Mytilus edulis: one gene and its partner. The main gene of each other region encodes a partner of the protein of the gene in region 2 in a complex. Links are inferred from orthologs where the notes say so. Each region holds a gene or a part of one and is shown on either strand. Other genes may lie near its edges.

What was found.
Region 1: dynein regulatory complex subunit 3-like (region 2) and dynein regulatory complex protein 8-like share a complex: the UniProt entries of both Homo sapiens proteins name them as parts of the nexin-dynein regulatory complex. The link is inferred for Mytilus edulis from reciprocal best matches to the Homo sapiens genes DRC3 and DRC8.

Annotation. Positions count from the first base shown.
Region 1 is NC_092346.1:91,310,843-91,327,222, forward strand, and holds the start of dynein regulatory complex protein 8-like, read right to left. Parts: upstream 8,165-16,380; 5' UTR 8,091-8,164; coding exon 8,060-8,090; intron 2,520-8,059; coding exon 2,435-2,519; intron 2,169-2,434; coding exon 2,096-2,168; intron 1,471-2,095; coding exon 1,391-1,470; intron 603-1,390; coding exon 493-602; intron 1-492. UniProt on the Homo sapiens protein: Component of the nexin-dynein regulatory complex (N-DRC), a key regulator of ciliary/flagellar motility which maintains the alignment and integrity of the distal axoneme and regulates microtubule sliding in motile axonemes.
Region 2 is NC_092352.1:28,250,150-28,266,087, reverse strand, and holds the start of dynein regulatory complex subunit 3-like, read left to right. Parts: upstream 1-8,160; 5' UTR 8,161-8,268; exon of another isoform or gene 8,269-8,274; intron 8,275-11,218; 5' UTR 11,219-11,238; coding exon 11,239-11,416; intron 11,417-11,941; coding exon 11,942-12,058; intron 12,059-12,560; coding exon 12,561-12,727; intron 12,728-13,529; coding exon 13,530-13,676; intron 13,677-14,321; coding exon 14,322-14,441; intron 14,442-15,179; coding exon 15,180-15,292; intron 15,293-15,632; coding exon 15,633-15,807; intron 15,808-15,938. Other genes in the region: TOM1-like protein 2, read right to left, coding at 468-524, 958-1,092, 3,969-4,115, 4,953-5,037, 5,933-6,017, 7,911-7,968. UniProt on the Homo sapiens protein: Component of the nexin-dynein regulatory complex (N-DRC) a key regulator of ciliary/flagellar motility which maintains the alignment and integrity of the distal axoneme and regulates microtubule sliding in motile axonemes.

The DNA of each region.
Region 1 (16,380 bases), on a different chromosome or scaffold from region 2:
TACTACAAATTTTATACAGTCTTCATCCACTTTTTAAAAGGTAATATAATTTTGGGGTATATTAACTGTTGATTTGTGCACTGTACAACAGTTGATTCATATATTATACAAAGTTTATTCTTGTATGTAAAGTTTTGTATCAATAAAACAAATTTTATAGGTAGTATCAAATAATAATCATTACAGAAAACAGGCAGGCCAGATTTAAAATCAGCCATATAGGATGCACAGGGGCAGATCCAGCAATTTTAAAAAGGGGGTTCCAACTATATCCCCCCTCTCCTCTTGATCCGCCATTGATGGATAACTTTGTATATAAGTTTGAAGTTTGAATTTATTTTATTATTTAACAATTCATTTCATACCTAATAATGTTGGCAGTTTCCCAAACACATGGTGCAAAACAGACAGCTTCAGGTTTGCTGTAATGTTAGAACTTTTATAATAATATATAATTTGTATGTACCGGTACTTGGTATTGATATTACATACCTTCTTCCATCATATATTTTGTAAGTTCCTCTGCCAACAGAAAGCCTTTTCCCTCCTGATCTAATACGTGGAATGCTTTTAATATCATATCTTCAGGTTGTGGTTTATATCTGAAAAGTTTTAAATATATCTTATTTTCTCTCATTAATTATAGGTAAACGTAAATAAAATGTGTACACTCTTTGGTCAAAAGGCTGACATCTGGAATGATATGTAAACTTCATCTTTAAACTTTAATTTTGTTTACAACTCCATATCAATAATATAATTTTCATCTCCTGATTGCCAAACAATGGTCACACCACTAACATACAGCATCCCAGTGGTTAAAATAAGAGAATAAAACTTTCTATGGTGATTTCCATAACTCGTATAACTGACCACAATCACTGTAGTAAATATCCGATCTTATGGATAAAAACCAAATCCAAATAATTTGAAAACAAATTACTTTTTTTATCTCCAGACACACTTCTGAGTTAAGAAATAAAGATATTCATAGTTTTGCTTTAAAAATAGTCAAAAAGATGACATTTACTATGATTTGTGTAAATTGTTCCAGTACTGGAAAGCCATTTCGATACTTCCAGCCGCTCCATTTACATTAACATATCACCATACACATTCATTGTCTCAACTGAGTGTGTACAGAAACAGTGAATTCGTATTTGCTTGATTGGTAGATAGACCAAGAGATCCATTTCAGGATTTAAATTTGTTATTGCCAGTTAAGCAAACTATGGGACAGCGGTAAGAAAAAAGATATAATCATATAGAATGAATGCAACAAATTGTTCTTTCTTTATTCACTACAGATTGTTACAAATAAACTGTTCACCTAACAACCAATGTACTGATCAAATACTCAAATAATGTAAATTCAATTAAAGTGTCTTACTTTCTTTCCATCAATGTTTTTGTCATCATGGGTAAAAACTTTTCAAATCGGATATATCCTGTAGGTTCCTCCTCTTCTATCTATCAATAATAAAAATATACATTAACAAATTGATTTTAGTACAATGAGGTACCCTCTTCTTCTATCTGTCAATAATAAATATATACATTAACAATAGTTGATTTTAGTACAATTAGTTATACAAGGAATAAACATATGCATAATACAAACATGCTTTATATATTCATCAAAAGTAATATGCATTGGATACCCTTATTTATTCAAATATTTGTAAAAGTATTCACTTATTTAGTAATTTGAAATAATCTGTTCTCAGAATTTTGTTGTACTGTGTAATTTGTTGACCGATATTCATAAACAAACTAACAGATTGCTTGCAGTTACTGAAACCAAGCTGAAAGTTCTATAATCTTCTGATGTAGAAATCATGTTTTCTTGATAGTTCTTTCTCTTTAATGCAAATGTATGTGTGTGCTGTATTTTCATTTACAACAAATAACTAAGAGTTTTCATTATACAGTTACTGGTTAACTTCCATTACAACTCCATGTAGTTGTAGAAAGTCAGATAAATCTAAAAAGAGTGGTCTTTCTTTGCTCACATTCCAGATAGGTGTAAAATTATTTCAAATATGCTACATGTTTTACCAATATTTCTATCTTTGTATGATCACATTTTTCTTACCTCTGCCAAAATGTCTTGTAATTCTGCTTCACTAGGAACACAACCTAGTGATCTAATGATGGTACTTATTTCTCTATAAAATAAAATTATATAGGTTCAAGTAACATGAAGTGACTTGGTAATGAAGTAGTTGGTCGACATCCATAATAAAAATATCATTTACGTGTAAACTGATCATAACTGAGGTGGATGATACATGTAACTTCAATCATCAAAAAATTAAAGGTGTCACTGCATGCCATAAAATTTGTCAATACATGAAGCTTTTAAAAATCATTACATCTTGTTTGTTTTTGAGGCATTCAGTACTTGAAAATTAAATTCAGTACAATAAATCACCTGACATCAACTGTCTGATTGCTTTCATTGTCAAAAATTTCAAATGCATCTGTTATTCTTTTCTGTATATCAGCTATTAAAGAATCTGAAAAGTATAAGTTAATGAAAAGTATAAGTTAACATTTAAAGGACATGTACATGTTTTATTCTATTTTCAAATAAGGTTTTAATAACAATTCTTTCAAGAGAAAATTATATCAATATACATGTGAATTATATTATAAATTGGGTATGTACTTCATAACTGCATCACTAAAGGAACATGCAGGTTCAAAATGGGATGGGCCTTGGACATAGATACATGTATACCGTATAGCATGTTATTTTTCGAGATTTTCAATGAATAAGGTATACAAAATATTTTAGCTGTTAATTTTTGGCGGAATTTATTTTAGTGATTTTGTTCTATCCGCGAATATAAGCAAAAATTTACACCCTGTGAAAATAACCCGCTATAAGGTAATAGAATGTCAAAAATCAACTAAAGAGCCGAATTTAATTGCTAATAACTTCAGTATGAAGATATCAATACAAAAACGCATAAAAACGTCAAAAACAAAAATATACTGTTAAGCCACCTACATGTTTAGCTACATATAGTTATGTTACTATATATTGAAAATCAAAATTAACCCCTAAATGTTGATATACATTGTTCATGTAGGCACACTTGTGCTACCAAAAAAAGATAAGATGATATATAAACTATCCCAAACACTGTTAAGCAACAAATGACAACCAGGTGCTCCGCAGGGCGCAGCTTTATACGACCGCAGAGGTCGAACCCTGAACAGTTGGGGCAAGTATGGACAAAACATTCAAGCGTGATACAGCTCTGAATTTGGATTGTGATCAAATTTTTGACATTACATGGTTTTTTTTTACACAAAACAAATGTCAAGATTTTACAAATCAATTAAAGATTTCTTCAAACTTTTTAAATCTAAAATTAAATAGTTGACACAGCATAGGTTTCTGACACAGAATGAATGTGGTCTAATGAACTTAAAAGTTTTTTTTTGCCTTTGAGCAATTTACTATGCTGTTGAATATTAATCCTCTCAAAAAAATGTTTGAAGAAATTTTCTTTTTATTTAAGAAATCTGAAATGAGAAAAATTTAAACCCCCCCTTTTTTTTCACATCCCCGTTTCCCTTTTTCCAAAACTGATATCAATTCAAATTTCTAATGGAGTTTGCAACAATAACTACTCTTTTAAATACATCATAAAATATTAAAATGTAAAATAAAGTGCTTGTTATCACTGAATGGTAAAGATTGGGTGGTAGTAAAAGTGAATATACATTGTTTATTGTATAAAACAATAAAAAAAAACTTCATCAGCAACATTTTATATTGGCAAATTGAAGTTATTTACATAAAGTTATTGGCAAATAAAAATAGAAAATGACATCATAGTCATGTCTGGCAAATGTCCAACATACATTATCTAAAAACATTTTAGATAAGATAAGGAAAAAAAGCTTCATCAGCAACATTTTATATTGGCAAATTTCCAATGAAGTTATTTACATAAAGTTATTGGCAAATAAAAATAGAAAATGACATCATAGTCATGTCTGGCAAATTTCCAACATATATTATCAACTACTATTCTATACAAAGAAAGATAACTCCAATTGAAAATTAATTGCTATAGTACAATATTGTGCAATTAGATATTTCTTGCTATTGTGCAATACTGTGCAAATTGAAAATTTCTTGCTATCGCACAATACTTGATATGGAATCCTGATTTGGACCAACTTGAAAACTGGGCCCATAATCAAAAATCAAAGTACATATTTAGATAAAGCATATCAAATAAGCCCAAGAATTTAATTTTTGTTAAAATCAAACTTAGTTTAATTTTGGACCCTTTGGACCTTAATGTAGACCAATTTGAAAACTGGACCAAAAATTAAGAATCTACATACACAGTTAGATTTGGCATATCAAAGAACCCATTTATTCAATTTTTGATGAAATCAAACAAAGTTTAATTTTGGAACACCATTTGGACCAACTTGAAAACTAGGCCAATAATTAAAAATCTAAGTACATTTTTAAATTCAGCATATCAAAGAACCCCAAGGATTCAATTTTTGTAAAATCAAACTAAGTTTAATTTTGGACCCTTTGGACCTTAATGTAGACCAATTTGAAAACGGGACCAAAAATTAAGAATCTACATACATAGTTAGATTCGGCATATCAAAGAACCCCAATTGTTCAATTTTTGATGAAATCACACAAAGTTCAATTTTGGACCCTTTGGGCCCCTTATTCCTAAACTGTTAGGACCAAAACTCACAAAATCAAACCCAACCTTCCTATTATGGTCATAAACCTTGTGTTTAAATTTCATAGATTTCTATTTACTTATACTAAAGTTATGGTGCAAAAACCAAGAAAAATGCTTATTTGGGTCCCTTTTTGGCCCCTAATTCCTAAACTGTTGGGACCTAAACTCTCAAAATCAATACCAACCTTCCTTTTGTGGTCATTAACATTGTGTTCAAATTTCATTGATTTCTATTTACTTAAACTAAAGTTATTGTGCGAAAACCAAGAATAATGCTTATTTGGGCCCTTTTTTGGCCCCTAATTCCTAAACTGTTGAAACCTAAACTCCCAAAATCAATCCCAACCGTTCTTTTGTGGTCATAAACCTTGTGTCAAAATTTCATAGATTTCTATTAACTTAAACTAAAGTTATAGTGCGAAAACCAAGAAAATGCTTATTTGGGCCCTTTTTGGCCCCTAATTCCTAAAATGTTGGGACCAAAACTCCCAAAATCAATACCAACCTTCCTTTTGTGGTCATAAACCTTGTGTTAAAATTTCATAGATTTCCATTCACTTTTACTAAAGTTAGAGTGCGAAAACTAAAAGTATTCGGACGCCGGACGACGACGACGACGCAGACGCCAACGTGATAGCAATATACGACGAAAAATTTTTCAAATTTTGCGGTCGTATAAAAACATCACACAATTGACTTTAGTGTCAAAACATGTAAATAACAGAATATTCATGAATCAGCAACATTAACAAGCATTCACAGCAAATGCAAAACAATGAAACTTTAAAGACTGCACATTTTGTTACTGGTTTAATCATGGGCAAAGTCAGGTAGGGTTTAAGTACGCCTTTGTGGAACCCTTAAAATGGAAAAAATTAAACTTGGGCATACTAAAAATAGAAAAAAAATCTAACTTGCTCAGAGGTTGGCAAAATTATAAGGTTTACACCCTAAAACTCAAATCCTGGACCAACCCCTGATAATGCTGTAAAAACTGGTTGAACTAATCACTTTCCGAAGGAAAATGACTGTACCATAACATTCTTAATTTTAAAAGTACAAATGTTTCTGGAATAACCTTTAATAGGTAGCTCAAGACCAAAAAAGTTCAGAAGGCAAATGCATAAAACGGTTAGGCATAGAACCAAAACTTCAAAAGGGCATAAACTATCTAACAGTATTTAATGTATACTGAAAGGGATGTTATCTTAAGGGTCTAATCTAGTTTTGGAGAGGGAGAACTGCTTCCATGAGAGAGTATGGAGAAGTGGCCAATTTCTTTGAGAAGTGAAATTCGGAAACGTTTTGGTTGCATGGTGTTTTCCTGCTTAAGAGAATTTTTTTGTATATGCAACAAAAAAATATACTTGCAGTTGTTTCATATGATATTGTACAAATGTAATTATTGAAAAATCTTAATAAAGCTTTAGACAATATATAGTTGTTATTTATTTATTCATTCATACTGTCAACTTTAAATTAAACTTAAATAAAATGTGTTCCTTGGACATCCAGTAGTAGGCTAGGTATATCATGATTGCCTTCATTTCATGTGAAGCTGCCTTAATTTAGTTTTTAAAGTCCAGTTTATCTGATGAATTCCACATGACTGTACAATATAATTTATATCACAACTTGTCATTATTTTGTAAAACATTTGTGAATGTCAAGAACATCATGTCAGTTGTAAATTGGGATTCCTGTGAAAGATATAAGCTTATAAATGAAGATATGTGGAGCAAACTTCTTTCTTTTTTTATATAATAGATATCTTCTTTATTAAGAAATGGACCTGAATAAAATCCACTGCTGAATATAAATGTTTTATTTTGATTCAGTACACATAATGATATTACAATACAAACATAAGAGATTTTTGTCGAATATAATGCTGATCACAAGCTGGCCATGTGTCGTACATTTGCAATCACATTATCCATCAGCTGTCCTTCTACCCTTTTATTTTTCAATTTTTAGTCAATGAATATAAAAATTCCACAGATTATGCGAGATAAAAATCGTTGTAAAATGATAATTCAAACAGAGGCTAAGATTACTATTTGAATTGTTTTGAATGTTAATACTTTGCTATGAAGTAGTCGGCCAGGTAGATTTAGATTTTAGAGATTCTCAAATTTTTTTAAAGATTTAAATCATCGTTTTGCCAGCAAAATTTTAGGCTCCTGGCTGATCTTGGTTTTATTGCAATTATATAATTGAGAAGCTTTAATTTTATTTGTCTTGTATTTATGTAATATATGTATAAAAAATTCTTTGCAAAAACAAAGCAAACATACATTTACCAACATGACCAAACATATTACTTACCAACACCCCCTTTGTAAAAGATAATGTCATTTCAATTTCAGCTCCTTTAGATTCATTACTTACTATAGTTACATACTGTTAAAAAGAATATTGTGCACATGGTGACACCACCTAATGGTGTGTCTGATCTTTCAAATTAATATCTTAAAATTACCACATGTATATCTCTGTTCTATTATAAATTGTTCCTGTTTTAATTTGTAATGTATTCCTTATAGGGGGTCACATTTGTGAAGGGGGTCTGATCCAAGATCCCGCAAATTGTTTAGTGAGAATCCTGTTTTAGGTTTCTCTTTGCCGTAATAACTCATGTAATTTCCAATGTCCCGCTAGACTTTGTATCCCTTTTTCACACTTAAATATGAGACATTCATGTGTCAGGCTTAAAAAAATTGGCCAAATCGTGTCAACTTGGACCCAAATTGAGACCCATCCTTTACAAAATGTTGTCTGTTTAGTTGTATTTTTAACAGTGGCATATATTTATTTAGCATGAGTTTTGGCTATAAACCATAAAACCACAAGTTTTTGCTAACCATAATACAAGGTTCAGCCAACTATTTATTTCTTAAAATGTTCTGTATCCAGTCAGGAATATGGTAGTTGTTATCAATTAGTCCTTTTTTTGTATCATACATGTTTGGTTTTTTTTTTCAGTTGTTTTCCTCCTATATCATATATGTCGTTGATGTGTTTCCGATGTGTTTCCCCTGGGTTTTAGTTTTAACCAGTTTGTTTTTGCTGGATCGATTTAGTTCAATTGCTTATCGTTATCCTGCTGTTGCTTTAATTTATACAACTACCAGCAAGCTGTGCATCTGAAAATAATAACAATATAAAAAAAAAATTGGTTCTCGTGAAAGTTTCATACAAATATTAGGATAATTTATGATTCAAAACTGCAAATTTATTTCCTCGACCTTCATCAGTAAGGGTATATATTTATGGAGAAGTTGTTTAATAATGATGGGATCGTGATTGTGAATTCCTACCCGCGTTTTCCTTCTGTTCAGCATCACCCATCTTGTTTATATTGGTTGCTAATCAGTGACCTTGACTTGTAATTATCTCCCCCTGTGACAAGTGCGATTTGTAGGGAAAACGAATTTAGGAATCAATGACAAATCGTCCCACTGGAAAATCGCCCCACACCTAATCGCACCACTTTTCCACAAATCGCCCCACTCTGGTTTACCAACTCGCCCCACTTATGAAAAGGGTAAAATTCTATTGAAAATAGGTTGGATAAATTGTCCCAATTATGAAAAGGGTTAAAATCCTTAAGGTCTGCCAACTAGCCCCAATCTGAATCATGACAAATAGAAAAACCACGATAAAAAATTATTAATGCCAACTCGCCCCACTTATAAATTTCTCATTTATGTATGTTTTCAAACCATAAAAAAAACTTACCAATCAAATTTTCATCAACAATAAAACCTGCCTTGTCTTTTTACTAACAAAAACAAGACCCACGCTTATTGTACATCTTCATCTACATCATACGACGATCCATCATTACATTGATGACTATACGTCGGCGCATCGCAAACAGACACTTAATAAAATGTAATAACCAATGAGTGCAATAATTCAAAAATAATTTTGTGCAAAAACAAAACAAAAATTAACACATTTACATATTTACAAACAGGTTGGATATCTAAATATACTGACTCTGGATCAGTATTTTAAACTGATCCAGGGAGTTAACACTGATGACGTTTTGTGGAAGTGAATTTCACAGTACAACTGTGAATGGAAAAAAGCTGTACTTGAAGTAATCTGTTCTTGTGTTAAATGTTTGGTATTGTAATGAATTAGTGAATCTGGTGTTTTTGACTGGCTGTGGTAAAAGGTAAAGGTTTGGGTCTACTGCAATGAGATGGTGTGAGATTTTGTACAGCATAGTTACTCGATTGATGTTTCTGCGAGTTTCAAGTGACTTCCATTGAAGATAGTCAATCATGGGAGTGACACTACTGGTGTTGTGGTACCTGTTGGTGACGTAGCGTGCTGCCCTTCTTTGTACTTTTTCAATGTTGTTTTTTTTTTGTTTTTGGGTGTGAGGGGACCAAACTGAAGAGCAGTATTCTAAATTCGAACGTACCATGGATTTGTATGCTAAACTTTTTGTTTCTTCCTGGTTTATTTTTAAGTTTCTTTTAAGAAAGCCTAAGATCTTATTTGCTTTTGCAGTAATGTTGTTGATATGTGTGTCCCAAGACATGTTGTGAGAAAGGGTGATACCGAGATAATTGTGCTGACGGATTCTAAAATGTGGCCTTTTAATACGTAGTCATGTTTGAATGGTGACTGTGATCTTGTCACAGTGAGAGAGTTGCATTTTTCTGGATGGAATTGCATACCCCAAGTTTGTTCCCATTTGGCTAGGCAGTTTAGGTCAATTTGTAGTATGGTACTATCTTGGTGATTTGTTATGTTTCTGTATAAGATACCATCATCTGCAAACAAGCGTGTTTTTGGTGTTACTGCTGCAGGTAGGTCATTAATGAAGATGAGAAAAAGTAGTGGACCCAAGACTGAGCCATGGGGCACCCCACTTACCACAGGCATTTGACTAGATACCTCTCCGTCAAGGGCAACCTGTTGCGTTCTGTTATTAAGGACCCCGGCAATTCCAGGTATTTCCTCTTATGCCATAGTTATCCATCTTCCTTAATAGTTTTTTTGTGAGGTACATGTACCTTGTCAAATGCCTTGGAAAGGTCTAAAATAATAAGATCGGTTTGTACGCCATGATGGAGGTTACTAAGTAGTTCATGACATAAAGTAAGTAGTTGTGTTTCACAGCTGCGTTTAGATCTGAAGCCATGTTGATTATCCACAAGGATGTTATGTGTGTCCAGATGTTTCAGTATGTTACTTACAACAATGTGTTCAAGCAGTTTGCAGCAAATGCAGGTTAGGGAGACAGGTCTGTAGTTACTGGCTAGGTATTTTTCGCCTTTTTTTTTAAAATAGGGATCACATTTGCCTGTCTCCAGTCTGTTGACACATCTCCTTTCAAGAAAGATGTATTGAAGATGAAAGCGAGATGAGGTGCAAATTCAGGTGCAAATTGTTTAAGAATGCGTGCTGGTATTTCGTCTGGACCTGTAGCTTTAGATGTATCAAGATTTTTCAAAAGTTTTTCTATGCCATTTGGTGTAACATGAATTTCGGCCATAGATAGAAAGTTGTCTGATAGAGTTGGTATTTTTTTTTTTTTTTTTTTTTTTTATTATTTTCAGGTGTAAAAACAGAGTGGTTTTGTTTATTGAGTATTTCAGCTTTTTGTTTTGTGTCGTCTATCAGCATACCCTCAGATCTTAATTGTGCAACTCCCGAACTGTCTTTTTTGGTGGACCTAATATAATTCCAATTTTGTTTCTGTTTTTGCGAGGTTTGTAAGCTTTCGTCGTAACAAATGATGTTTTCCAGATATGTCCAATAAGCTTTTCTTGTCTCTTTCTGAATCAGTTTTTTTGTTTCCCTGTACTGTTTATTAATTTTACTATGCGATTCTGTTTTCATTTTTTTTGTAAATGAACGAATGGGCATTCTCTCTAATATTTACTTGAAAGTAACATTTGTCTTCAATGATTGCTCGTTAGGGTTGGATTATTCTTAACTTCAATGATTCAAAGACAAAAGTAACCAATCCGGTAAATGCTTAGTCCAAATAATTATGACGTCTGACAAGGCTATTACGTAGGAAGGCGTCGCAGAAAGAAAAAAAATAGCCTTGCCAGACGTCATTATTATTTGGACTCAAAGTAAGTGCTATGATAACAAATTGCTGTTAATTGAAATCCTTAATATTTAGAATTATAATTTCAGATTTAGTAAAACATCATTTGATTTCAATAATAATAATAAAATAAATTTTCTTTTTTTTTTGCATTCTGTGTAGATTAGTTTTTTTAAGGGGCGAGTTGGGGCGATTTGCCAGTGGGGCGATTTGGCCTGCTTCACGAATTTAGGAGTCTAAAAATGTATTCTGTTCTGGTTAAGAAAATCTCTCCTTCAAAGGAACACTTCGCACAATGATGAATAAAATGTTTATATATCTATATATACTTAAAAAGACATATATACTCAATATAGCATTCCACATTCATGGTCAATTCGGCACCAAATTATATTTTAAAATAAAAAAGATTTCAATTTTAAAATATTTTCATATTTTTGTGGTGTTTAATTTTATCAGTTACATTACAAGATCGTTAAAATCATCACATCTTATTATATTATAAAGCAGTTAAAATGGTTTTTTTTTCTAATTCCATGAATAATTTTTGATTAGATTTCTATTCGATTAAATTTTCTCAATTAAATAATTAACATGTTTTTTATATTATCACTGATCGCACATGGAGAATAAACTAGGAATTGATAGGAAACAGCAAATTAAAGTTATTTCTAGCATATTTATGTTCATATTGATTTGCAAAGCACGAAACTTATTGAAATAAATGGAAAACCAAAACCTAACGGATTTAGAGAAAAAAAGGTTAACAAAAAAAAAATCTTGTAACTGTTCTGTCCCCAAGAACTTATATGTTCCGTATGTCAAAACGAAGATTTTACATTGTCAGGTAGTGCCAAAGGCTAAAGATAACAGGCAAGTCGTGCCTACCTGACATTGCAAACCTCCACAACGAACAAGAGACGATGAGTATATATAGGACCTAAATCAGACATACTTTCATGATAGAGATCAATAAGAAAGAAATCAATATTTTCAGATTTACAGGTACAAAATTGACATTTCTACAATTTGACAATCAGAAATCCTCTTTCGAAAAACAACCGAAGTTCTGCTAAATTTATTTTAAAGAACAATAATTCAATCGGAAGAAACTGCTATTAAAGTTGATATTGACAAAGGGAGAATATGGACATGGAATAAACTTCCTTGTTCAGTGGCGGATCCAGAAATTTTCATAAGTGGGGGCCCACTGACTGACCTAAGAGGGGGCCCGCTCCAGTCACGCTTCAGTGATTCCCTATATAAGCAACCAAATTTTTTCCCCAAAAAGGGGGGGGGCCGGGCCCCCTGGGCCCCCCCTAAATCCGCCTCTGCTGTTGCCATCACAGGTATTTGTCTCAGATCCCCCTATATACCTTAATATAACACTTCTGACGAATCACGATAAGGATATTTTGCCGAATCAATGTAGAACCTCGCATTTTCCCGTTTCTAAGCCTCATACAAATAAATTTCATATTTCAAGACACTATACGTATATTGTCTAAATACAATTCAAAACAATAAAAGAAAAGAAAAGAAAATAAGAAAGAAAAAAAAAACGACAATGACAACTAATTACAGGTTGTATTCCCTCTGAATTGAAATTGTGTTGCTGAGAAAAATTATAAGGTTCTTTTCTTTTTTTTTTTAAATGCATAGAATATTGGTGATAATCATATCAAACATTTCTAATATAACTTCAAACGCAATCTTTTCATGAACACGATTTATATAGAAATAAGAAGATGTGTTATGATTGCCAATGAAACAAATAGCCATAAACACCAAAAAACTCACATTTAACCGTGTATAAAGTAAACCATAACAGACACCTAATTTCTAAATGTGCAAACATTCTAAAGAGAACATCAACGACCTGATTTCAACTACAGTTATGCTATGTGCTAAAATATTTTTGGGAACATCAACCAACAACAAATATGACTTATATTTTCTGACCTTCAGACAGGCACACAAGGAATGTTGCGGGTTAAACATGATTGTTTGAGCGCTCAGCTCTGGTCTAAGATGGAACACGTAACACAGACTGTACGACTTGTATATATGATGACTAACATCACCTCGTTTGAAGGAACGTTATTGGTTCTTTTGTTTTTCTGCATTTACAAGTTTGTACAAATTGTTCTGGTCAACACGAACAAAGCAAAAACAAAAGAATATTATACAGACAACACCCAAAACAATGCAAAATGAAGAACATAACGATAACATCATGAACAATGCAAAATGAAGAACATATCAACAACACTACAACAATGCAAAATGAAGAACAAAACGACAACACCACGAACAATGCAATTTGAAAAACAAAACGATAACACCCCAAACATTGCACGATGAAGAACATAACGATAACACAAAGAACAATGAAAAATGAAGAACATAACAATATCACCACGAACTATGCAAAATGAAGAATATAACGATACCACCACGAATAATGCAACATAAAGAGCACAACGATAACACCATAAACAATGCAAAATGAAGAACAGAAGAACACAACGATAACACCATAAACAATGCAAAATGAAGAACATAACGATAACACCATAAACAATGCAAAATGCAGAACACAACGTTAACATTCCCAAACAATGCAAATGGAGAAACACAACGATAACATTCCCAAACAATGCAAAATGAGAAACACAACGATAACATTCCCAAACAATGCAAAATGAGATACACAACGTTAACATTCCCAAACAATGCAAAATGAAGAACACAACAATAACATTCCCAAACAATGCAAATGGAGAAACACAACGATAACATTCCCAAACAATGCAAAATGAAGAACACAACGATAACATTCCCAAAGAATGCAAAATGAGGAACACAACGATAACATTCCCAAACAATTCAAAATGAGGAACACAACGATAACATTCCCAAACAATGCAAAATGAAGAACACAACGATAACATTCCCAAACAATGCAAAATGAAGAACATAACGATAACATTCCCAAACAATGCAAAATGAAGAACACAACGATAACATTTTCCCAAACAATGCAAAATGAGGAACAAAACGTTAACATTTCCAAACAATGCGAAATGAAGAACACAACGATAACATTCCCAAACAATGCAAAATGAGGAACACAACGTTAACATTCCCAAACAATGCAAAATGAGAAACACAACGATAACATTCCCAAACAATGCAAAATGAGGAACACAACGTTAACATTCCTAAACAATGCAAAATGAAGAACATATCGACAACACTACAACAATGCAAAATGAAGAACAAAACGACAACACCACGATCAATGCAAAATGAAAAACATAACAATAACACCCAAAACATTGCAAAATGAAGAATGCAAAAAGGAACATAACGATAAAACCACATACAATTCAAAATGAAAAACATAACGATAACAGCACATTAACAATGCAAAAAGATGAACATAATGAAAACACAGCGAACAATGCAAAATGAAGAACAAACAAAGAACAAATGAACAAAGCAAAAAGAACACACAGACAACAATTACAGCATGAACAGAGCAAAAAAGGAAATAAAAAGGTTAACAGTGATGCTCTGGTTTTGTCAGGAATTTCTGATCTATAAGTGGCAGCAGAAATTTTGCTTTTGGAAAGTAAAAGAATCAGAAAATTGGTCACATTCTGAGATGTGATGAAAGGTAATTAAATATATTCTTATTTGTAGAATAATAAACAAGGATGAAAATATGGAAAATATCATAGATCATTGTGGAATTCATGTTATGGTAGTGACACCACAAAATTCTAACTTGATCTGTTTTGTGTGGTAATAAGCATTGTGTATAAGTTTCATAACATATGGTTTTGGCAAACTAAAGTTCGAGAATGGAAACTAAATATTCAGAATTTTTTCCATTTATAAAGGGGCATAACTCTTGAAAGGTTTATGATACACCACCAAAATTCAAACTTGATCTGTGTTTTGTGGTAATAAGCATTGTGTATAAGTTTTATAACATTTGGTCAAGGTAAACTTAAGTTAGAAACAAAACTAAAAATGTAGCAATTTTTCCATTTATAAAGGGCATAAGTCTAGAACAGTTAAAAAATTGAAAACAACACTTTTAATAATTTCTTGCGTCCGAAGCGCTTTTTTGGATTTACCTTCATCAGGAACGCTCAAAGCCAAACATTTGAAATCTGAAGATAGATAAGTACCGAGAATCTTTGAAGAGCTATATGTCAAATATACCTAAAATAAATAGTCAAATTCATCTAAAGCCAACTTTGCCTGAGGGAGTTGAAACCTTAGCCATGACTTAGGGGACAAGGCCTTGAACTAGTTGTCATACTGATTAGTACTGATAGTTATGCAACTTTATAGAAAATATCAATGATGTATCATAAGTAGTTCCTATCAAACTAACTGAACAACTAGATGCATCAGCTAGCTATGTCTCTCTGTCCAATACTTCATCGTAGGAGAGTCAAAAATAGTAACTCCACTTATGAGGACCTAGACAGGAAAACCTCTAGTAATATATTATTTCTTTATGTATCTATAAATTGGGAAAATTGATTTTAATGGTTCCTATAGTTTTTTGCCGCTTTCAAAGACTTGACCTAATCACCTGTCTATTGTGGAATACAGCAAGCTACCTGCTAGATGTCTTTTGGTTATATTTTTTTGTGGTTTAATGTATTATATTGTTTTCATTAATTCAGAAATTGAGTGTTATCAATTTATCCACATCGTCAATAGATTCCAAACAATTCAGAGTTTGAAGACTTATTATTTAGAGACAGGTCTTTGGTTGAAGACTGCATGTTACTCTCTAGATGTATTTTGTTATTTTTGTCTTTGGGTTGCTGTCTCATTGACCTATACACCTCATCTTCTTTATTCATGTATAAAAATTAAACTCAGATCTTATAATTTAAATAAGCTTTATTAATCTAATTGCATAGATTAAGACACATACATACATAAAGTTCTGATAAAACTTCAGCACCATATTTCACACTCTCTATCTCACTATCTATCTCACTAACGATTTGTCAACCAGTCAATTCAGGGACTTGATTTTGTAGGAAATAAAATATGAATATCTTAATAATAGGTTACAACAAGAATGTGTCCAAAGTACAAGGATGCCCCACTCGCACTATCATTTTTCATGTTCAATGGACCATGAAATTGGGTAAAAAATCTAATTTGGCATTAAAATTATAAAGATCATATCATATGGAACATGTGTACTAAGTTTCAAGTTGATTGGACTTCAATTTCATCAAAAACTACCTTGACCAAAAACTTTAACCTCAAACTCCCACTTTCATTTATTATGTTCAGTGGACCGTGAAATTGGGGTCAAAAGACTAATTTGGTTTTAAAATTAAAAAGATCATATCATAAGCAACAAGTGTACTAAGTTTCAAGTTGATTGGACTTCAGCTTCATCAAAAACTACCTTGACCAAAAACTTTAACCTGAAACTCCCGCTTTCATTTTCTATGTTCAGTTGACTGTGAAATTGGGGTCAAAAGTCTAATTTGGCTTTAAAATTAGAAAGAT
Region 2 (15,938 bases):
ATAGTCCTTTGATTAGATTCCATTATAACAAAATCGCAATAAAGAAAACTTATAGTTGGACATTCATTTTGGTGTAAACAGTTATCTCCCCTGATCCACAATTTTTGGATTTTCATGTTCACTTTATCATTACCAGAAAGAATTACAGATTCAAATCAGAGCACTTTTAATTTATTGTTACTGTTACCTTAAAATCAATAATAGCCTTTTCTCCAAGGTTAGGACATGACACAACTCAACTAAAAATTCTTTTATGTAAATAAAATTAAGCACAGATTTGAGAAAAATATTATCATGCAAAAATTAAACACTGGTTTGAAAATTGATTGAGTATTCCAAAAGCCAATTTGAAACATTCAATTACACTGTACAAATATGAATGAAAAATGGTAATGCAGTATTAATACAATGTAGTAGTTATGAATATGGATATGTGTAAGACTATAAAATGAAGGGAGATAACTCACTGCTCGTAAACTTGGTTGTCTTTGTTGTCTGATAACAGGTTCAGGTTCTGGTTGACTCTGAAAAATATAATAAGATGTCAAGGTAGATTAAGATTGGTTTCTTATATTTCTTTTTTGGTTTTTATCCTTTATAATCATTTTCTTCCAGAATAACTCATCTTATAAAACTGCCTTTCAAAGATGAAAAAAGCATTAACTTGCAAGTTCACAAAATGAAACTACCTGGATTCATATCAAATTTAAGTCATCTCCTTTTTTTTAAAATATCAGACTGGACCATTTGGCTTTCATGCAAATCTCCATAAGTTGTAACAATTTTTTCTTTAACTTGAAATCCATTAGTTTGTTTTAGTACTTAGAGCAGTTGCACTTGATAACAGCACGTTCATTAACAAGGTTACAAACTTATGTATTGTTCAATGCAAATATTTCACTAAGGAATATTGATTATAATGTGTGTAATTTCATTTCAAAAGTCCTCTATACATACCCTTTTTGGTGTGTGAATTGGTGCCATATGATCTAGATCTGTCATTGGGAATTCAATTCCTTTTCCTTTCAAATCATTATAACATTTCTCTACTTCCTTCAGGTCTGGTTGCCCTTTAAAAGCATCTGACCAGGACTATAAAAAAAAATTAATTTAATTATTTACTGTTATACTACTCTTTTAATCAAATATTCTAGCAATACATTTCTATATATTTTGTATTTTTCACTTAAACCTTTGTAACTTTCTTTTTAAATAAATTCAAATATTTTTTTACTAAGGGCTATTCCAGAAAAAAATGTATGGGGGTTGGAAGGCACATTGTATTAATAATACATGGGTGATGGGTATCAGAGCAACTTTTCACACTATAATGCACTATAATTCTCAATTACAATTGTCTGGGTGGCGGGTGATGACAAACACTGCCTTCCAAACCCCCATACATTTTTTTCTGGAATAGCCCTAAATTAAGAAGATACAAATCAGTGAATTTAAGGAAAACAACTTTAAAAAGACAGATCAATATCCCATATAAAATAGTTTACCTGTCCTTTGAACAGGCAAATTATAGCTGTCAAACTAATTAACCTTGATTTTAATAAAGGCAAGGTCATGGCAAGAAGATTGCGTAAACTTCATTTCTCTCTCTCTGAATTATGTAAAATAGCAAATATGTCCGGTTCAGGCTCTGAACAACCAAGTCCAGTGTATGATTCGTCAGGCTTGACCAGACAATTAGTCCGCCTTGAAAGCCCTGTTAGGTAGACTAAATCCTCTAACCTCATTATGACAGAATGATTTGTATATTTAGATGTTGACTCAGTTTTATCAACCCCTTAAAAAACAACATGGTCAGCTACAGGTTTGAAGCATGTATTGATTTGCAATTAGATTATTTATATATATATCTATAAGGGTGCTATAAACAGTTTCGTACTAAAAACTAGGGGTATTTCCCCAGTGAGATTTACATACTGATGGAATTCCCTGCTATTTATATACCACTAAATGAAAAAGTTGATTGTTTTTTATGTTCAATGTGAAAAACATATATTGAAGTTCAATTAAAATGCCACTTTTGTCAAGATTTAAAAAAAAAAAAATGTTTTTGTGACTTCCTACTATATGGGAGGCAACTCCATAAACAGCTGATTTTCACCTGTTGTAAAAAGCACTTTGATTTGTCAGGTAAGATAGCTCCTTTCGGAGCAGGCGAACGTAGGCTGAAACTACATTTTCTTAAATCAGCCGGATAAGCTCTTCGAAATGCATATTATAAGAAATCTCAAATATATGCACAGGTTACTGATCCGTGTGTCCAAAGGTGGTCTGTTTTTAAGGTTTTTTAGGGGGAAAATGCCTAATTTCCAGCTGATAACTTGTACCAATTTGCATGTTTAACAAGAGATGTTGGATTTTTTTTTATTTATTCAGAAAGTTCATAGAATTATCTTTCCATTGATGTATAGATATCTATATAACTATGAATATCTGACTTCTGCATGATGGGTCCACTATTACATGCCCTTTTACAGAATGACGTCACGTAAAAAACTGTTGATTGCACCCTTAAGGGACAAATACAAAATATTAGTGATGTTTTAGCATAGAAATGTGTTTGGGAATGGAGTAAAATAATTCTGAAAAATATTGTACGGCATGTATACATTAATTTAAAAGCATCAGTTTGGTATATTTAATGCAAATATTACAGATTTGTACATAGCAACCAGATATAAGAAAACCAGACTCTGTGCGAATATTGAAGTTTTTTAATTTTTTGCGACGTCATGATATTTTTATTCAATCTCTCATATATTTGGAACCAAAAGTTGCATATGAAAAGTGTAGATTTTTTCTACTTTGACCTTTACTCCTGATCAGTGTTACATAAAGTTTTATTCATTATAATATATATTTGGTACTTTTTATAGTCAAAAAGGTACACATGCCATTCCTAAGAAAAACACTATTTCAATATTTTCTCAACTCAGCTATAACTTAGTTCATATAGTACTAGGAACAAAATCTATTTAAAGTAACTTTATTCATGCCTATTTCATAGTTTTTATTCTATTTATTTAAAAGAAACCCTATTTTATGATTTATTTTCTTTGTAAAACTGATGAAAATGTGATACAGGAAATGTTTGGGATTTGCCAGTTAAACTGTTTGCCACTGGCCAATATGCCACTACCGCGCGACTTAAAAAAAGAGCTGTAGTTTCACTATTTGTGGTCACAATCCTTAAAGTAAGACATCATTTTAATCGGTATAGTGTACAGATTCAGAAAAGCTGAGAATTTTTTATATATCACATACAAGGTTTTGCTTAAGGGTGCTATAAACAGTTTCGTACTAAAAACTAGGGGTATTTCCCCAGTGAGATTTACATACTGATGGAATTCCCTGCTATTTATATACCACTAAATGAAAAAGTTGATTGTTTTTTATGTTCAATGTGAAAAACATATATTGAAGTTCAATTAAAATGCCACTTTTGTCAAGATTTAAAAAAAAAAAAATGTTTTTGTGACTTCCTACTATATGGGAGGCAACTCCATAAACAGCTGATTTTCACCTGTTGTAAAAAGCACTTTGATTTGTCAGGTAAGATAGCTCCTTTCGGAGCAGGCGAACGTAGGCTGAAACTACATTTTCTTAAATCAGCCGGATAAGCTCTTCGAAATGCATATTATAAGAAATCTCAAATATATGCACAGGTTACTGATCCGTGTGTCCAAAGGTGGTCTGTTTTTAAGGTTTTTTAGGGGGAAAATGCCTAATTTCCAGCTGATAACTTGTACCAATTTGCATGTTTAAACAAGAGATGTTGGATTTTTTTTTATTTATTCAGAAAGTTCATAGAATTATCTTTCCATTGATGTATAGATATCTATATAACTATGAATATCTGACTTCTGCATGATGGGTCCACTATTACATGCCCTTTTACAGAATGACGTCACGTAAAAAACTGTTGATTGCACCCTAAAGATTATCTTTACCTGTATAGAACTTAAGACTTTTTCTTGAAGAACTGTTGGTGGGTCGTATTTAGGACCAATTATTTTGACTAAGTCACCCATAAAATCTTTTGTGGCTACTTGCTGGTGGAATTTTTTTCCACAATTCTTCACACATGTCTCCAAACACTAAATATACAAAGAAATAATATACATTAGGTACAAATAAAACAAATAACTGATTTTGTATAACAAGTAAAAATAAAATAAAATTTGCCAAAACCCTGAAAATATAAATATTTAGGTCTAGTAATATCATCAATTAATTTTTCATGATTGGGGCTTGAAATATTGTCGCAATTGGTGGTTGACACTGATCAGAGATAATTTTGAAGCAGCGTATTAAAGACTCAAAATTCCTTAATGTTTTTAAAAAATTTAGCTAAAATAATCTATTCCTCAACAATCGATTTAAAGTTTTGTAAACATTTGATTTATAAAATAACCATTTCAATGATATACCAAAGTCACTACTGTTTTAAAAATTCTTTGTTGGGTCTGACTGGTCACAATATTAATTTAATTGGGCTTCATCAGAAAGAATTTTTTTTCTTGATGATCAAGTTTTATTTTTAAAAATATTCATTTTCAAACTCTGAGATCATAAACAGCAATTACACACTTTCCCTTTGCTTTTAGTGTTTTTTGCTATACATTTACTGATTGTGTGTCACTGATGGATACACCATATCCTTTGTTTTTTCTTTTAATATATTTTCATGATGAAGTTTGAATATTTTTAGGAATAAGTTTTTTTTAATTATAGGAAATTTCATGTTGTTTTCGTAATGCATCAACAGGCATGTACATTTTATGTCAATACAAATTAATATAATATATTGTTATTATCTTTGAATGTCATCTAAGTAAAATAAAGATTAAATAAGCCAAGTTTTTCATGTCACATGTTTGACCTTTTAACATACATTGTACAATACTTAAAGAAAGGGGAGTCTAGAAACTTACTGTTAAAGTGTACATAACTGCAGTGTGATTCTTTCCCATATTTTGTGACAATCTTTTCTTAATTGCTTTAATAGCATCTTTTGGTCTGTAAAATATACAGAAGAACATTTATAATTTATATAAATCTAAATTCTTCATAAATAAGCCTCAAAGTTGCACGAGATAAAATTTAGGATGACCACTAGTAGGAACTGTTGTTCTTCAGTGGCAAGAGATAAGACCTACAGACTGTTGCATTAAAATGGAAATCTTTACCAATCACATTATTCAAATCATATTAAGCATTACCTGTTAAATCGTGCATTCTGTATGTGCCTGTCCGAAGTCAAGAGCCAGTAATTTATTGGTTGTTGTTTGTAGCGCATGCTGTGTTACATATATTGTTTTTTCGTTCATTACTTTGTAAATAAATTAGGCCATTAGTTTTCTTGTTTTCTTGTTTTACATTTGTCATTTTAGGGCCTTTAATAGCTGACCTAATGGTATTGGCTTTGCTCATGAATGAAGGTTGTGGGGTAATCTGAAGTTGTTAATTTCTGTGTCATTTGGTCTCTTGTGAAGAGATGTCTCATTGGCAATCATACCACATCTTCTTTTTTCATATTTACTGCAGAATTACTTCTGTGAGAGCACTATTGTGAAGGAATGGTACAGTTAAAAAGACTTGAAAAATCCAAAAAAAATCAAAAAAATTTATACATTACAATTTGTAAATTTTCCAACCAGAACATATCATTGTCACTATATGTAGTATAGTAAAATATTTTATTATAGCAAATGTTAATACATCTGACAACTTCTATCAAAAAATATCATGCACCTGATATATTAGACATCCACTCATTCTACTGGCTGACCATCCTTATCAAAACAGTCTGTTCTATTTCCAGACTTGATATGACATCAAAACACATAAATAAAGAGGCCATAAACATACTTTTAAATGACTTTAATTTATATAGCTAATATAAGTATCATACCCTTCATCAGTGTCATTAATTACATCACAGATTTCCATAAACAGTCCCCAGTTTTCTGATGCTTGTGAACCATCAGTGCTTTTTTCTGAAAATAAGAAAATCACAATAGAAAACATGTTTTTTCTTTACCTCATTCTTTTAATTTTTTCTTTTATCATGTTTAAAATACAATATGATTGCACCATAATCTGATAATTGTTGTGCAATACCCTTTAAATGTTAAAATCAAAGATGTTCATAGTGCACCTGCTGACAATTTTCTTGGTTTATATTCATTATAATTTAACAAACCACACATTTCAACTCAAAAGAAGTTTATTGTTGTTAGTAATTATTGTAGCCACAAAAATTTGGTCAACACAGGGTGCAACGACGGACGCTGTCATGGAAAATGAGCAAGTTCTAGGAGTGGGAACTTGTAAAATATTTCACAATTGATTCAGTACACTGTAGGGAGTCAAATCTGGAAATAACTCTCCCAACAGGAACTTGACTTAGACTAAAACTATTTTCATTTGTATTTGTTTACAAGTACAACATGTCAATTAAACATTTATATAGAAAACTGTGTGCTACTCTGTACTCTCCCATTAAGGTTTTAAAAAATCCACCCCTTACTCCTTAAAGTTTGCTCAGGAATAAATGCATTTCAGTTTTCAATTGAATAGTAAATTTGGTGATTGAATAATTGTTCTATGTTTGTTTCACCGTTTGATTGATTATTGGTGTTTAACACATCTTGAAGCATTATCAGCTACAGCTACGCATCCAAGTTTTAATGGTGGAGAAAGCTGGAGAGTGGAGTCAGAACAACCTTCAGCACACCTGCCACATGCAGGGTTTTTACAATGTACATACAAACTCAGTGTTGACAGGCTAGTGATTGCTGTAGATAAACTTCTAAGACCATCCAGGCCCTGGTTTATCAAGGGAAACACCAGAATTCAGGAAACTGCTAGTTTATTTTTGCATACTCTAACAATCAATGTTATTATGTGGATAAAGTTCAAAATTAAAATTGCACAAACAAGTGTTTAATTCATAATATGCATTTAATTTCTCTATATTCATGTTCAAGATAAAGTTACAACTACTTATAACTAAATTATTTTCATGAAATTGACCGTTTCAGAATCTAAAGCATCATGGGTAATTTCATTGTTCGTACCCCAAAGTTAAAATAACGTTACGTCATTGGTTGAATTTCCATTGTTTATAACGTTTTAAACCAATCAAAACGCTTTGGTGTACGCTTTTGAAAATATTACCCAGAATGCATTAGATTCTGAAACGGCGAATTGTTTTAAAATTTGTTGCAAGATACGATGATCTTACCTTGCTTACAGTCTTACTTAGTTCTTGTTGACATTTGCGATTTCATTGAACAGGTTGGGAACAAACCCTCTATATGGTGATTATACCTGTATAGAGGGATAATCCTTCTATAGAGGGATAAAATTTTTGTTTAGACTGGATTTGCAGACACACTTGATTCCTTCAAATGTCTGTGTCATAAGAGAAAAATTCTGATGTCACAATGCAAGTGATTTTTCATGACAGCAAAAGTTAGTGTTTCGAAATAATAGATCATACATTGGTGATTTTCAAATAGTGATACCGTAAACATGAATAAAAAAATTCAAACAGTCACCCCTAACTTTATCCAAACATGGATGATGGAAGGAAGTTAGGTTTGGAAATTAAGTCAGGAATGAAAGTGCAGCAATGACAGTATTTTCAAGTATGTTCATTTTTTAAAAGAAAAATATAGAATAGAAGTTTAGAGCAAAATGATGGTCAAGGTATCAACTATGTCTCAAAAAATATTTATGGTCTCTTTTTTTTATTCAGACTTTCATTCTATTTTCTACCTTTCTCTCCTAAATTGGATTGACATTGTGTTTTGTTGTTATGTAAGGGAGTGTATGTAATGTCTCATCTTAAATATGGGCTGTTACTTCTCACTATAAGCTCTTACCAATCATCTGGCCTACAGGTGTAGCCAGAGGATTCCCATGTCCAAAGAGGGCAGCCATTTTTTTTGTAAATATTGCGTGACGTCATTTGCGTGATCTATTTATAGAATAGTCTTGTGACTGGCATAAAATTTCGACCAATATTTAAAATAATAATTTCTTTCTTCACGTTACAAAATGTTTGGTTTCCTCTCATATTCAAACATCATTTTAAAATACATATTTTCGTGGAACGGAAGTACTTTTAGAACCGGAAATAACAGTCGACATAGAAACAGGACGCCATTTCCCACAATTTTTGAAGCTTCAAATCGACAAATGTGAGAAATCATTGAGGTTACAGTCGTTTCTACTCAAAAGGTTAATGTCATCTTCAATAAATTACAATGAATGATATAGTTTTAATAATTAACAACTGCCACTCGCATTTACTAATATTTAAAACAAATAAACAAGCACTCAACAAAACCAAAATAGTCAATAAAAAAAAAGACAATATCCCTCTGTTTTTCAGGGTTGCATTTCATATGTTAGAAAATATGACCGCTTGATGATTGTGGTGTGACATGCCAAACAATGACGTCATTCACGTTTGCCCTAGTACTAGTCTAAATAATTATGACGTCATGGACGTCTTGAAAGGCTATTATAATTTTTTTCCAAATTTCTCAAATTCCAAATTTTTGAAAAGTTTGAAGAAATCTGTAATTGCAAAATATTGCATAATAGATTTGTAAGATCTTGACATTTGTTTTGTGTCAGAAACTCATATTATGTCAAGAATTTGATCACAATCCAAATTCAGAGCTGTATCAAGCGAATCCAGGTCCTTTCGCGCCCATTCACGTTCGCACCCACTCATGTTCGCCCCCTTTCACTTTCGCACCCTACATGTTCGCACCCAAAGTATGTTCTCACCCTACATGTTCGCGCCCAATATCAACTTTGTAATCAAGTAGTATTCTTATAAGTATTATTGTTTTCATTGTCTCAAAATAAAGTGATACAGCATTTTTTTTTGTGTTGAATAAATCTTAATCATGTTTTGGATAGTGTATTGTTAAAAAAAAAAATATTCCTTTCTAAATAAAGTGGGATTCTGTCAACATTTTATTTTGTGTTGAATAACTCTTTATCATGTTTTGGTTAGTGTATTACCATAACTTTGTTTCATTGACTTGTTTCAAAATGAAGTCAGATTCTGACTATGTTTTTTTATTTTTGAGTCTTGAATAAATTTTATCATGTTTTGGTTATAATAGTGTATTGCTATATTTTATTGTTTCATTGTTTCAGATCAAAGGGACCAAGCTGTTAAAAACAATTATCTTTTGTGTTTTTCATTTATAATCTTCAATCTTTTACTCATACCAAGCTATAAATACATTCAGTATTTACCCGAAAGCAATTAAAAACAACAATGATGATTTTCCAATTATTCAACCGGAATTTGAATAAAAATTGGGCGCAAACGTGTAGAGTGCAAACGGACCTTGGGTGCAAACGTGCGAGGTGCGAAAGTATATTGGGCGCGAACGGACCTGATACCGTATCAAGCTTGCATGAATGTTGTGTCCATACTTGCCCCAATTGTTCGGGGCCCTTGTTTATTTTGTTTAAGGTACAGCACTGATGAGAAGCTTACATAAATTAAAGCATGGACATACATGTACAATGTATGTGTCCCACTCCCTCTGACACAGTTTGTGTCGACACATGTCCGGCAGCAAGAGGGTTAAATCATAATGATTTTTATAAATGTCTATCTCTTACAACCACAATTTGTAGTTTGTGTTTTAAAATTTATAGAGAGAAGAAATCTTTTTTTATCATCTATACATCTTTTCATGTCAGAGATTACTCTGATGTCCAACAGCAATTTTTGGGCAGACAAGATCGTCTGATATATCTAAAAGTTGATATTTGACTTCCTAAATGTATGCTCTGCTTCATTGCTTCTACAATAGAGTATACTGACTGCATTGTCCATATACATTGGTCATCAATTTGTTCATTTTTTTATTTTTCTCATTCATGTAAGTGTCATCTGAATCCTAAAAATATGTTCTCCCCCTCTTTATTGGGTTTGTTAAATAATTTTGTAATCTAGATTTGGCAAGTGTATTATTATTATCTATTAAAAAATGAAAGATGAAATCTGAATTATGTTTGAGATTGTGTATTGCTACAAGACAAGACACGAGTGAAGACAAGATAAATACTTTATTAAAGTCTCACCACTTGTTACATATAAAATATACAGTTTTTTAAAACACAAATTAACAACAAGAGCCACTCTATAAAGAGTTATGAGAGATATAAAAAAAATATTCTTAAATTATACTACAAATACAACTTAAGTCAACTATCATGAATATAAAATACATTTTTGCTTAATTAAAATTTCAGAGCAGATTTTGGCAGTTTTGACATGTAAATAAAAAAAAACATTGTTTCTAAATCAAGTGAGATTCGAACAACGTTTTTTTGTGTGTTGAATAAATCTTAATCATGTTTTGGTTACTGTACATGTATTGCCTTAATTTTTTTTGTTCGTTGTTTCAGATCAAAGGAACCAAGCTGTTAAAAACAATTGTTTTTTTGTGTGTTTTCATTTAAAATCTTTAATGCTTTTCTCATGACAAGCTAAATACCCACAACATGCAGTGTTTACATCATAGGCTTGAAGCAAGTCAAAACAACAATCATGATTTTCTAATAATTCAACTGGAATTTGATTTAAAATTGGGTGCAAATGTGCGAGGTGCAAATATGTAGTGTGCAAAAGTATATTTGGGTCGAATAAACCTGATACCGTTTCATCTACCTGCCTACCATTATCTTCTCATATTATTATTGTAGAAGAAATACGACATTGATATCCTCATCCTCATACATAAATGTGACAGATCACTTTTTAAAAATATTCTGGGATTGTCAATGGATGTAAATTTCTGTCTAGACTTTAATATTTTGTTATTTAAAATTTGTCAGACTCCGATTCAATAGAATTTAGCATAATCTCATGACCTTCGTCAGTTTTTAACAGCATGAGTGAGTTCCTTCTGATTAATAATCAATGTACATGTAGTTTGTCATAAATCTTAATATGTGAATTAGGTTTTTTTTTAATACAGTATTACCATTTTGATGACAAAACAAGAACTTGGACCTATGTCATTTGTTTTAAATTTTCATAACTTTAAGACTCTAATAATACATGTACAAAAATGAACATTGATTGAAAATAAGACAATCATCCTTTTTAGTTTCTTTCCATTGTATTAAATATGTGGATTTTATAATTCAGATCCATCAAAAGCAGCAAAAATGAGTGCTGTAAATTCTATGTCTCGTATGTACGATAACTTAGAACCAACAGTTATCGATGAAGATTTACTCAGATCTGCTGTTGAAGAACAAGGTCCCAAAGAAGAAGCTGGTAAAATAGCTAAAGCTGAGGGGATAGACTTTGGTGATGTTAGATCCTTGAGATTAGACTTCAAAAGTAAGTTAACAAATAATTTAGCTGTGTTTGAACAAGATGATGCGTGTAAAGTGTCCTATCTGAATTATGAGAAAAAATATATGAAAATGTTTGTTAAAAAAATATTAAAAAAAATTACATGTATATTTTTATTATCAACAAATTCCAAAGTTCCTTTGCTACATTGTTTCTTGTGGATGTAATATTTATATTGTAAATACCTTGTTGTTTTGGTATTTTATCGAAAAAAAGTTTTATATAGTTTTTGTTCCATTTAAAAATAGTTTTTCAAATTTGTAGCCTCCTGGCAAAAACTTAACTTTCCTGATTTAAACGTTTGTTGAAGTGAATTTCTTTCACTTTTCTCAATAATTTTATAATTATTAAGAATACAAATTAACTTTGAGAGATCTCTTTTTGTTGTTGCACGTATGTTCATTATATATATAAATATATATATATATTTGTATATGTCTATAAATCTGCTTTCATTTTATATTATGTGAAAAGAAATTGATCAGTAAGTCTTTTTTTTTTATTTTCCAGATGTTTTGACAATTGACAACTTATGGGAATTTACAGCTTTAACAAAATTACAGCTGGACAACAATATCATAGAAAAAATAGAAGGACTAGACTCACTGGTAAATCTTATTTGGTTGGGTAAGTGTATAAATTTGTAAATCAAAGAGGGTGTTGTCAATACATAATTATCATGATTTGAAAAATACAAAGTAATATATGTGGGTATACAGAACTGAGATTGGAACTGGAAACATTGATAAACCAGAAATTAAACACATAGTCTGCCACAATACTATAGTCAAGTGTCTGTAGCATATGACAAGTTTTCTAGATGACTTCTAAATACAGTATTTGAGAACTGCCATCAACACAAATTCTTTAAAGAACAAAAACATAAATTATTTGATTCAAACGGGAGTTTAAACATCAAGAACAGTTTTTCTCCATCTTTTGGTTAACTTTCATCCATCAATATTTACAGAAATCAATCATTATCATGCATCATTATTCCCCATCTAAAAATGAAATATGACTATTTCAATAGAAAGAAAACCATCGTTCATATATATTTATAATCTTGTTATATATTAGAGGAGATAACTATTAACTTTAAATTTTAACAGCAAATTTGTTTTTTCAGATTTGTCCTTTAACAACATAGAAGTAATAGAAGGATTGGGTCATCTGACTAAATTAGAAGACCTTACTTTATACAGTAACAGAATATCAAAGATTGAAAATATGGATAATTTAGTAAATTTACAGGTGTTTTCCATTGGAAACAATATCCTGAAAGATTTAGAAAATGTAAGTATCAGCATTGTATTTGGTTTAAGAAATTTTGTAGCTTTTTTCCTGTAAATAATCTTTCAATTTTGAGTGAATAGTTATATGACTTTGATTGTAAGTTAAAAGGAAATTAACCTTTATTCCTCAGTACATCGATGAAAAGTGTCTACAGTGTCTAAGTTTGACAGCCAAATAACCTTTTTTAAATAACCATTAAAGAAATGAAATGCCATATGTAGTTATTTGCCTTCATTACTTTTCCTAATATTAACACATGTGCTCAATTGTTATGTTCAAACAGAAGTATGTGGAAAAATTGATAGCAATGTAACTCAGCATTTTGCCTTGCCACTCTGCCTTGGTGATTTTTTTCTGTTTATTGTAAGTTTGATAGTTATTAGTCAATACTGCTGTGTTGATAATGACATAAGTTTTGACTGACAATACTATAATTTATTTAGGTTTTTTTGGGGGGTTTTATTTGTGGAGCAGGGACCTGACCATATGATATCATACAATGTATTATTCTAGCACTGTCAAAAGTTGTAGCTCTGACTCTTACTTTTACTTTGAAACTAATCTAAATCGTAACGTAAACCAAATAATTGCCTTTTTTCCAAACTGGAAGGAAATGCAAAACCCAGAATCTGTAAGTATTGGATAATCTTTACAACTTAAAAACACTATAGTAGGGGCAATCAGTTAATATTTTGAAAACTTGGCTTCGCTTTATACATTAACATGTGACTTTCTGACAATGAAATTTCCATGGTTTTCAATAATCTAATGTTTTCTTGAACAAGTTTTATTTTATTTTCAGGTTATATATTTAAGGAAATTTAAGAAACTTAAAACATTAACACTGAAAGGGAATCCATTTTGTGAAGAGGACACTTATAAACAATATGTGATAGCATTTCTTTCAGACATAGGATTTCTGGATTATAAATTGGTTCATCAACAAGCGGTAAGTTTAATCCTTTGATAACAAAAAATCAACCTTTTAGACTGAAGTAAAAAGGGAATTTTCAACTCATTTTTTTTTTCATGTGCATTTTTGTTATTGTAATTTTTATTATTAGAAATGAAACATTAAACAACATTTATCTCAGAATATTCTGAATGTATGAAGACTTGGTTAATCTTATAGGCAGGGTTGCACACAATTACAAAACTGACTAAAAGTATGGTAAAGTGTGGTGGTGGATTGGGGAAAAGTGGTATCTACTCTGTCGACTCCTTCTACAGATCTCAATACAGATCCTTACAAAATTATACAAAGATGACACATGTATAGAAATTGTTCATCTTATTAAATGGATTTAATGGTTTTTTTTCTCAATTTTAATGTTCTTTATAATTATAGACCTTTTTCCATAATTTTACATTCATTCTGTGCAAGACTGCGATTTGAGTCTTTGAACCCGTTTAACAATTAAACTTGAACAAAGATGAAATGTACCAAGTAATTAATTGTTCATTTTCTTTTAATGATTTTGATTATTGAATTAAGTTTCTGTTTTTTTTGTAATCAAGATTATACTATTGTGAAAGAAAGTGTATTAATTCAATGCATGATATTAACTATTATTTATTTTTTTTGTATGTTCAGAGAGAGGCTGCCATTGAGAAATATATGATTCCAAGAGAAGAAATGTTACACAACGAGAAACAGGCTAATGCTATAGTAGAAGAAGATAACAAGAGAAAGATAGAGGTTGAATTACATAAGGTAACATACAAAAAATATTTCTCCTTTATTCAGATAATATTTTGTCTTCTTTTTTTTTCTTCTTATACCCCACCTAGGAACAATATGTTTTCAGTCTTTGTCCATCTGATTGTCCATCTGTCAAGGTAGTTTTTAATGAAGTTCAATCAACTTGAAACTTTTCACATGTTCCCTATGATATGATCTTTCTAATTTTAATGCCAAATAAGAGTTTTGACCACAATTTCACAGCCCAGACCACTGAGCATAGAAAGTGATAGTGTGAGTGGGGTATCCAAGTACTATGGACACATTCTTGTTTAACGATTGACTTGATTTTTCTTTCAATTTAAGCATTTTGAGAAATATGAATGTAAATTTTGTACATGTATCACTTTTCAGAAAAATAGGCACAACGAAGTTCTCGTTGGTGCTTGTTTCATGATACAGTCATTAGCTCAACTAAGCTCTGTAATATTTTTTAATAGACTTAAACTGTTTTGAATTCTATTCACAATCGAAGATTTCATGGATTTATGAGATACTTAAATTCATGTTTAAATAATTATTTATTTATACAGATAAATGAAAAATTATAGATTTTCAGATGCCCATACAATTACATAATATTATAATGATTAACAAGTACAGGTATTTGTAGTTTTTCAATACATTTAGGTAAAGAAGGATTACAATCACTAACTAAGTTACTTAATATAATCAGGGGCATAAGTAAAGCATAGTATTTGTTTATTTTAGATTGCTTATGTTGAGAACATGGATAGTGACAGCTTGTTTGAGAGTTTGTACACAGAAGACGCAGAAGGGAAGAAATTGGCAGAATTTCCTGCTATTTCTGAACTCATTGAAAGATATCCTTTTTAAATCAAAATTTAATTTTCAAGAGTAGAATTATTAATAGTTGAGTATGTGGTTTCATCTTTTTTGCTGTTATGGCAATTATTTTAATACAAAATTGAAGTATAATTTGAAAATCATGCATAACAATTTAAACAACATATGGAATATTAAAATTTATCAAATTGGTTAATATTTGTTTAAATTAAATCAAAATTGAAGAAATTTAAATAATTTGTTTTTAAAGTATTCAAAGCTATGTATAAATCTGGATGTATTTCTCATACTTAAAATAAATAGGACTTACCTTTAAGAAGGAGATTTTTTCATTCTTTTTTCCTTAACTCTGTTCACCTTCAGAGAAAAGTTTGTGGCTGTTTGTTACCAGATTTTTGAATACGGTATAAAAGAACATGATAAACGTCAAGCAGAAGTAAACCAGTTCTGGGAATGTATTGAAGAAGCAAAGAATGAAAACAAACTTCTAGGAATGAAGGCAATTGATGAATTCATGGTCATGAAGAAGAAAGTAAGCACATTTGATATAAAATAAACTCATTTACCTTTGTATTTTAAATATGGCATGGGATCATCCAAAAGGGGGAAACATAGTCTTCAACACTTCGTCAGAATCTATCTTTGAAGCTCAAGTTTGCCATA